Linked DNA regions of Arabidopsis thaliana. The protein of the gene in region 1 interacts with the protein of each later gene in a pairwise test. Each region holds a gene or a part of one and is shown in the gene's direction. Other genes may lie near its edges. The genes, in order: AT1G53760 and AT5G66830.

Region 1 (3,924 bases):
AGTTTCTATTCGCCATTTGTTTGTCTGGTCAAATGAGTAACCACTTGATTTGCTTGGAGAAGCATATGTTCTTTGCAGCATTGCTGAAACGTGTTCTTGTGATCCCTAGTCATAGATTTGATTATCATTACAGTAGAATCATCGATATTGATCGAATCAATACTTGTTTGGGAAGGACTGTTGTGGTTTCTTTTGAGGAGTTTTGGAAGAAGGATAAGAATAGGAAGAAGCATCATCATGTTCATATTAATAGATTCATATGTTACTTCTCGAAACCGGAACCGTGTTATGTAGATAAAGAGCATATTACAAAGTTGAAAGCTTTGGGGATCACTGTTGGAGGGAAGCTAGACACACCATGGGAAGAAGATATTGCGAGGCCAAGCAACAAGACAGCTGAGGAAGTGGAGGCTAATTTTAGATCAGATGACGATGTTATTGCGATTGGGGATGTGTTCTATGCTAATGTTGAGAGAGAGTGGGTGATGCAGCCTGGTGGTCCTGTTGCTCACAAGTGCAGAACTTTGATTGAACCAAACCGGCTTATTTTACTCACTGCACAGAGATTTATCCAGACTTTCCTTGGCAAGAACTACATTGCTCTTCATTTCCGCAGGCATGGATTCTTGAAGTTTTGGTATGATCTATTTTCTACTTCTCTGGTAGTAGCCGTAGATGGTAACTGAAAGTGAGAATTTTATGCTTGACCTTCACTCTTCTAAGTTCTCTTGTATAATGGTAAAGAACTTTGCGCATAGCTACACTCTACATTTGATGACAATGTAGGTATCTTAATCTTGATCAGATAATAGCAGTATTGGTATAGTAACCATTTAGAATTGCGGCTGTACTTTTGTGAATAGATAATTGGAGTTGCACATCTAACTAGCTTAGGCGAATTCCATTGACCAAGTTATCATTTATGAATAAGTATGAGCATTATGAGTTTATATCACTTGTACGAAGAATATGGTGTGTAATTGCTTCTTTTCTATATGGTGTGTAAGATGGATTGTTTTTAATTTTCATAGTAGCTTTTGGTGTAGCTCAGTTCATTTCATTACGAAGATTAAATCAGGAACCTTAGCTAAGAAATTTTCTTGGTGTGCCAGTAATGCCAAGAATCCAAGTTGCTTTTTCCCCATTCCTCAAGCTGCTAGCTGCATCACTCGTCTGATTGAGAAGGTCGAGGCACCGGTTTTATACCTTTCTACTGATGCAGCCGAAAGCGAAACTGGTCTGCTACAATCACTGTTGATACTGAATGGAAAGACTGTCCCCCTTGTGAAACGACCAGCTCGTGATTCAGCTGAGAAATGGGATGCATTGTTATACAGACATGGTCTCGAGGGCGACTCACAGGTGTGTTTTCTTTCCTCCTTCGTATTGAATGAATTGATACATATGCCAACAAAATGATACATGGCATTATCTTATTTTAAAGGTGGAAGCAATGTTGGATAAGACGATATGCGCATTGTCAAGCGTGTTCATTGGTGCCTCGGGCTCAACTTTTACAGAGGATATCTTAAGACTCAGAAAAGATTGGGGAACCGCTTCAGAATGCGATGAGTATCTCTGCGCAAACGAGCAGCCTAATTTTATAGCAGATCATGAATAAAAAGATTAACACGTAAATTAGTCTCTGTCTTGTGAGTTCTCATCACAAAACAGCCTAATTGTCTTCTTCTTTATGTGCATAGTTTACTAGTGTATATCATACAGTAAAAGCCATGCTACAGTTTCTTCTAATATAATCTGAGATTAGTGATGTGTCAGTTTATCATTGCTTCAGTTATAGCAAATAGTACTAACCATTTGTTATTACTGCCTTCTAATCTGTCATTAACCATTTGACATGATTGCAAATAGTACACCATTTGTCATTACTGCCTTTTAAAGAGACAACCTTTGTTATACCAAAATTTTAAGTCGATTTCAAAGACCCTTATATATAAAAACTTGTCCATATATGCCAAGAGACGCGCCGCCGCTTCTTTTCGTCTTTCCTCGTGAAATATTTTAGGCTTTGTCGGTCTCGTTACCTTAAAGTTTCGATTTTTCCTTTGAATATACGAAACCCACGTCGTTTAAAGCAATACCCAGATGACAAATTGACATTTCATAACTAAAGATCGGAGCTTTTTCGTAGTTAAGTGATCATGAGAGCGAGATTGGTGGTTTTTCCGATCAAAGGGAAGAAATGGTGTTTCAGCAGATCTGTTGACCCTTTCGCTGCTCAATCACCGTCTGGTGTTACTCCGACCACTGTACGAGGTTTATGGAAGAAGATATCATCTGAATCGAAACCCATCAATGCCAACGCAGAGCTTCTCGTCGATTTCATCTCTGACAAGGTAAAATTACATTGAAATTTTGTTCTCTCTATAGAATTCATACCCGTGTCTCTATGTGGCGTCTGAAACTTTTTTCTCTTTATAGAATTCATACCCGTGTGTTTATGTGGCGTCTAGTGAGATTTATTGGGTGTATAACATTTCGACCAATGAATAAGCTTTTGGTTCTGTTTCTGATTAAAGGTTTTTGACAACGAACCTCATTTAGGACCACTAGAAATGAGATAAAAGAATGGCTTTTTTTAATCAGTCTTCCTCCTTGATTTCTCCAATACTAAGTTTGAAGAAATGTTGTTGTTGTTGTTGTAATGGTTAGATGAATAAAGCTTGGGTGGGTCTTGAGAAAGCGCCTGATGGATCAATAAAGAACAAGATTCATGGGTTTGTAAAATCTCTACCTTTTTGTATTTTGAGACATTTCTTGAGGCTTTGGTCTTTGTTTGTTGATAGGCTTATTAATGTCAAGTTGTGGTTGGAATGTATAGGTTTGGATTGAAGCTTCTGGCTCGTGTTAAGCCTTCTGAGATTTTCTTGAAGTCTATATCTAAGGAGGTCACTTCTGTACAAGTCACTTATCCTCCGAGGTTCTATTTACTCTCCTTTTCTTGAAATTCTGTAAACTTGAGGATAAGTATCTCTCTTATGAATGTCTTCATGAGTATATATTCTGGTGAATTTGGATTGGTTATCGTTTTAGCTAATCCATGTCAAATGTTTTCAGTTTAGATCCTAGACTCGTACGCAGGAGACTACGGCACATTGCCATGAGGTAAATCACTTTGCTACCCGTTGTCTCAAATGATGAAACTTTATATCCGATTTCACGTGTAATAGATTCAGAATCCCTGTTCCTTCTAACACTTATGTTTTCTAATTGGATTTGCAGTGGAACAATCCTGCACAAGAAGTACCTAGTTGGTTCAGTTACTTTGCTTCCATTGACCAGTGCATTTATGGTATGTATAGTATGAAGCTAGCCCTCAAGAACCTTAGCAACTAACTCGTTTATTTTCATCGAATCTCATAACCACCAAACCCTTTTGTTCTTTCCAATTAGGTATTGCCATTACCAAACATACCATTCTTCTGGGTCTTATTCCGCACATATTCTCACTGGCGGGCTCTTCAGGTCTGTCATAACTTCTCGATACATACTTCCATTATCTAGAGGTTTATATAAACCCGAAATCATCTTTATTGACACTTCAGGGAAGTGAGAAGCTGCTTAAGCTCATCTCAAACGAGGCAAATCCTGATAAACCAGACTCAACTGATGATGCAGATGAAAGCAAGAACAGCAACACCAAGCCGGAACAAAAATCTCAATCTCCCACTTGTGTAAGCTGATCTATTTGTCATCAAAGATACTCAAATCAAAAGTTTTTTTTTTTGGTTCTTAATTGTCTTTGTTTACTCATAAACAGATTTTGCTTCCATCGGAAGAGTTATATCAGCTAATTCGTGAAGCTAGCGAGGAAGGACTCGACGAGGCGACCATAATAGAGATTTGCAAATCCTTTGATCTCAATAAGAACGATGTTCTTAAATATCGCAATCTAGTCTAACT
Region 2 (3,861 bases), on another chromosome or scaffold:
ATTTTCATTTTGTTTTAACCCTTTTTCATTTTTGGGTGATTTTTTTTGTTTCCTAGAATGTTTATAGCTTTTTAAGTAGTTGGTGAATCCCCAAATTAATTTCATTGTTTGTTAAACCTCTCTTATGTGTTTGTGTTTATGTGTTAACAGAGGAGGAGCATTTGGTTCATCAAAGGCGTTTCATTGTCTTCTCCTTCTCTCATGTCTATTGCTTTCATCAGTCAATACATTGCATAACTTAGCTGAATATGGTTACAACACTGGTTCTGCTGCTATGGAGTTTCAGGGCTTTATTAATGGTGAAGATTCTGGGAGTGTAGCAATCCAGAAATCTGACCAGAATGTTTGTCCTAGTTCACAGCTGTTTTGTTTCCTTTCAGCTTTAGGATCAGAGAATCGGTCTGATCCATTTGTGTTGGCTTGTCCCAAAGAATCACGGAGTAGCTCTGCTCTGATCAGAAAAAATCTATCTGGTGTTGTGTGGCTATCTCTGAAGCCTGTCCACATCATAGAGTTTCAGCCATTTACTGGATTCTTTCACATTGGAGACACTTGTTACGAGCCTATGTCCAAAGAGCTCTATACTAAGAAGACCACAAGGGAGTTAAGTATTACGGTTTCAGGAAAACAATGTGGAGGAAATGGTTTTATGGTGAACCATCCATGTGAAGGATTTTCATTAGAACCAGGGGATTCCATAAAGTTTCTCTTTTTCTACCAGAGTGAACTCTCTTGGGCATCTGGAGTTGCTGTTTTTGCAGTACCTATGAAGGCGACCGCACCTGTTTTGATGCTTAGTCTCTACAAAAAACCGGTCTTTTGGGTGCGGACGAAGAAATTCGCAATTGCGGTTCTTATTGCTGCAGCTCTACTCATTCTGATATTTTGCTTCAATGATCACTTCATCGAGGAGAACAACAAGAGAAACAATAGCAACCACATGGAGTCGAGAGAAGTTGAGAAACCATCTACGATCACAATATCCCCTGAAATGGATTCTCTGCTAAGATCCATAAGCAAAGAAAGCCTGCAAGTGTTCGATGAGGTTCCCAAGAACAGCAGCAGCGTTAAGCCAGTTGCTTCTTCACACGAAGAAGAAGCATCAGAAGCTGTGAATCTCACTGTAAAGACAGCGAAAGACAAGAAGAGGCGCCGTAACAAGAAAAAGAAGAAAGGAGGAATCAACGGATTAACACCAGAGTGCACAGATGTTTCAAGCAGTTACAGCGGAAACTCAACTCCTAGGTCTCCAATATCACCAGAACCACCTACTACTCAAGCCGCAACGAAGCTAGTAAAGCCTCCTACTAAACCGGTCCTATCGCACTCAGCAACGTTTCCGGTTTCAGGGGTTAAGTCAATGATCATACAACGAAGCTCACTGGCTCCAAATGTGAGAGCACCTGGAGCGAAATCAAGAACCGAAGTGAAAGAAGAGAAAGCGAAAGAGTATAGGTACTATGATATCTGGGGAGATCACTTGACAGGGCTTAATTTGATGGATAAGTTAAAGGAAGTGAGAGAAGGTAAAAGCTCAGGTTTTGATGGAGAGGAGTGTGAGAGTTTCTTTGTTAAGGGTCCTCAGAACTTGTTAGCAGACTCTCACACCAGGTTTGTAAGTTTCTGTAACCAATGGGGCTAACAAAGAAATAAAGAATGAAAAACAAAAATATTTTATATAATAATGCAAGGCCCAATGGGCTTTCTGAGCAGCCACCAAGCCATTCCATTAGTGAGATATAAACACAAGCAACGTCAAACCTAAATAATGAATGTCACGTAGACAAGTTTCGACGTCTTTATAAACTTGAAGGGCTTGGTTAAGATTCCGTCCTATGGCCTCTCCGCTACTCCCTGGTCCACCGGATCAGAGAAGAAATCTCGATTGGTGCTGGTCGAAGCTTCCTTCAGATCTCATGCAATTTGTATTTGACCGCCTTGGTTTTGCCGATTTCCAACGTGCAAAATCCGTTTGTTCATCTTGGCTTTCAGTTTCGAGAAATTCTCAGCCAAACAATCAAATCCCTTGGATGATTCGATTCCCCAAGGACAACAATCACTGTCTCTTGTTCAATCCTGAAGAGGAAGACAAGATGTACAAAACTCCAAATCTCGGCAACGATTTCGCAAAGAGCTCTTGTATCGCCAGTTATGGAAGCTGGCTTTTGATGCAACCTGAATCAGAATACATGGAAGAAGACTTAGACCATCAATGTAATAATCTCTATATTCTTGATCTTCTAACCCGCGAGAGAATCAATCTACCGATTCTCCAACCAGAGTTTGGACTCACATGTCCGATATTATGGACCGATGAGAAAAGCAAAGATCACCTAGTTATTGGAATGGCTCATGAAGAATTAGCCATTTCTTTCAAGAAAGGAGATTCCTCGTGGAAACAAATCCCAACCTTGTCAGGTATCGAAGAGTGTTTTAGCATGGTTTTTAAGGATCACAAACTTTACTGTCTGAGCAATTATAAACTCAAGGTCTTCGATTTCTCTGGAGATATTCCGGTCAAAGTTTTCAAAACTAGCGTAAGTAAGTTGTTAAATAATCCACTATGTATTTCCATGAGAATGAGACTTCCTGGAATTCCAATGAAGGACCAGTTGAATCACTTCAAGGATGATATGGTAGTCACTCTAGCCGGACATGTCTTAATTGTTAAGTGCCATCGTCCGAGTCTGTCCAAGATATGGAGCTTTGAAATCTACAAGATGGAAGGGAACAACAACAAGTGGGAGAAAACTGTTTCTCTGGGAGACGAGACAATTCTTTTGGATTTGGGTATCACAGTGCTCGCCAAGGACATGCAAGGGATCAAGGCCAATTCCATCTACTTCTCCAATCCTACTCCTTATTTTAAAGATCAATATGACGAAAACGAAATCTTCATATTCGACCTCGATTCCAACACCGTTGAACAACCGCACCGATCTGTTTCCTCTTCCTTTCCCCGCTCTAGAGCCCGATGGTTCTTGCCATGTTTCAAACGAGAATCATACTTCCTTCAGTAATTTGTCTTTTTTTTAATGTATCTACGTATTCTTCATATCAAGTATTGCAACATTTAGTAATAAAGAATAAAGCCAACAAACGATACTTGCCATATAGAGTAATAATTAAGCCAAGAACACCATCCTTGATTACAAGGTAATAACTTTTGAGGACGGTCTCGGACCCTCAAGATGAGAGTGAAGGCAAAAAATCACACCCGTAAAAAAAAAAAAAAAAAAAAAAAAAAAAAAAAAAAGAGAAACGGATGATCAAGAGAATCATGAGCCTAGAAAACTTTCTTACGAATCACAGACAAGGGTTGAGAACCGATGATCAGGACGCTTTCCTATGGCCTTAGAACCTGGAAATTGTGTTGAAGTAAGTTTACTTGCAAAAGAGACAAGTACCAAGTTTGTATGATGATGAAAGATATTACTCACGAGGTACGGTGTGTTATCGATAATTTGGTCTGTGATTGTCTCCTTCTCTTCTGTTGTTTACCATGTACAAGTCCCTTGCCCCATGGTTGTAGCTACTATTGAAGTTGGAATGGTAGGTCTGATGGTTCATGTATGGCCCTTGAGTGACCTCACTCTGCCTGTATGTGTCTCCTTCTCTTCTGTGGCTTATCATCATATGCGAGAAGTGTTCCAAGTCCCTCACTCCCAGGTTGTAGCCACTGTTCGAGCTGACATGGGGGTTCTGGTATGGTCTCCTCTGATGAGTAACCGGCACAGTGTGTGTATTGACATGTGGGTTGAATGATGCTTGTCCCTGCGGAGCATTAGAGGCAGTTCTTCTGATGTAGAAAGCTGGTGGTGGTCTTTGGTTTGTTTGGTTTTGCTGTGTTGGATAAGTATA

The links.
Region 2: the proteins of AT1G53760 (region 1) and AT5G66830 interact in a protein complementation assay, tested with the Arabidopsis thaliana proteins (one large-scale study listed by BioGRID).

What each region holds. Positions count from the first base shown.
Region 1 is NC_003070.9:20,069,157-20,073,080, reverse strand, and holds the start of AT1G53760 (K+-H+ exchange-like protein), read left to right. Parts: upstream 1-1,909; 5' UTR 1,910-2,162; coding exon 2,163-2,357; intron 2,358-2,673; coding exon 2,674-2,738; intron 2,739-2,842; coding exon 2,843-2,941; intron 2,942-3,078; coding exon 3,079-3,126; intron 3,127-3,243; coding exon 3,244-3,313; intron 3,314-3,414; coding exon 3,415-3,486; intron 3,487-3,566; coding exon 3,567-3,695; intron 3,696-3,781; coding exon 3,782-3,922; 3' UTR 3,923-3,924. Other genes in the region: AT1G53770 (O-fucosyltransferase family protein), read left to right, coding at 1-662, 759-786, 1,052-1,362, 1,445-1,621.
Region 2 is NC_003076.8:26,689,469-26,693,329, forward strand, and holds AT5G66830 (F-box protein (DUF295)), read left to right. Parts: upstream 1-1,784; 5' UTR 1,785-1,835; coding exon 1,836-3,020; 3' UTR 3,021-3,221; downstream 3,222-3,861. Other genes in the region: AT5G66820 (uncharacterized protein), read left to right, coding at 151-1,642; AT5G66840 (SAP domain-containing protein), read right to left, coding at 3,454-3,861.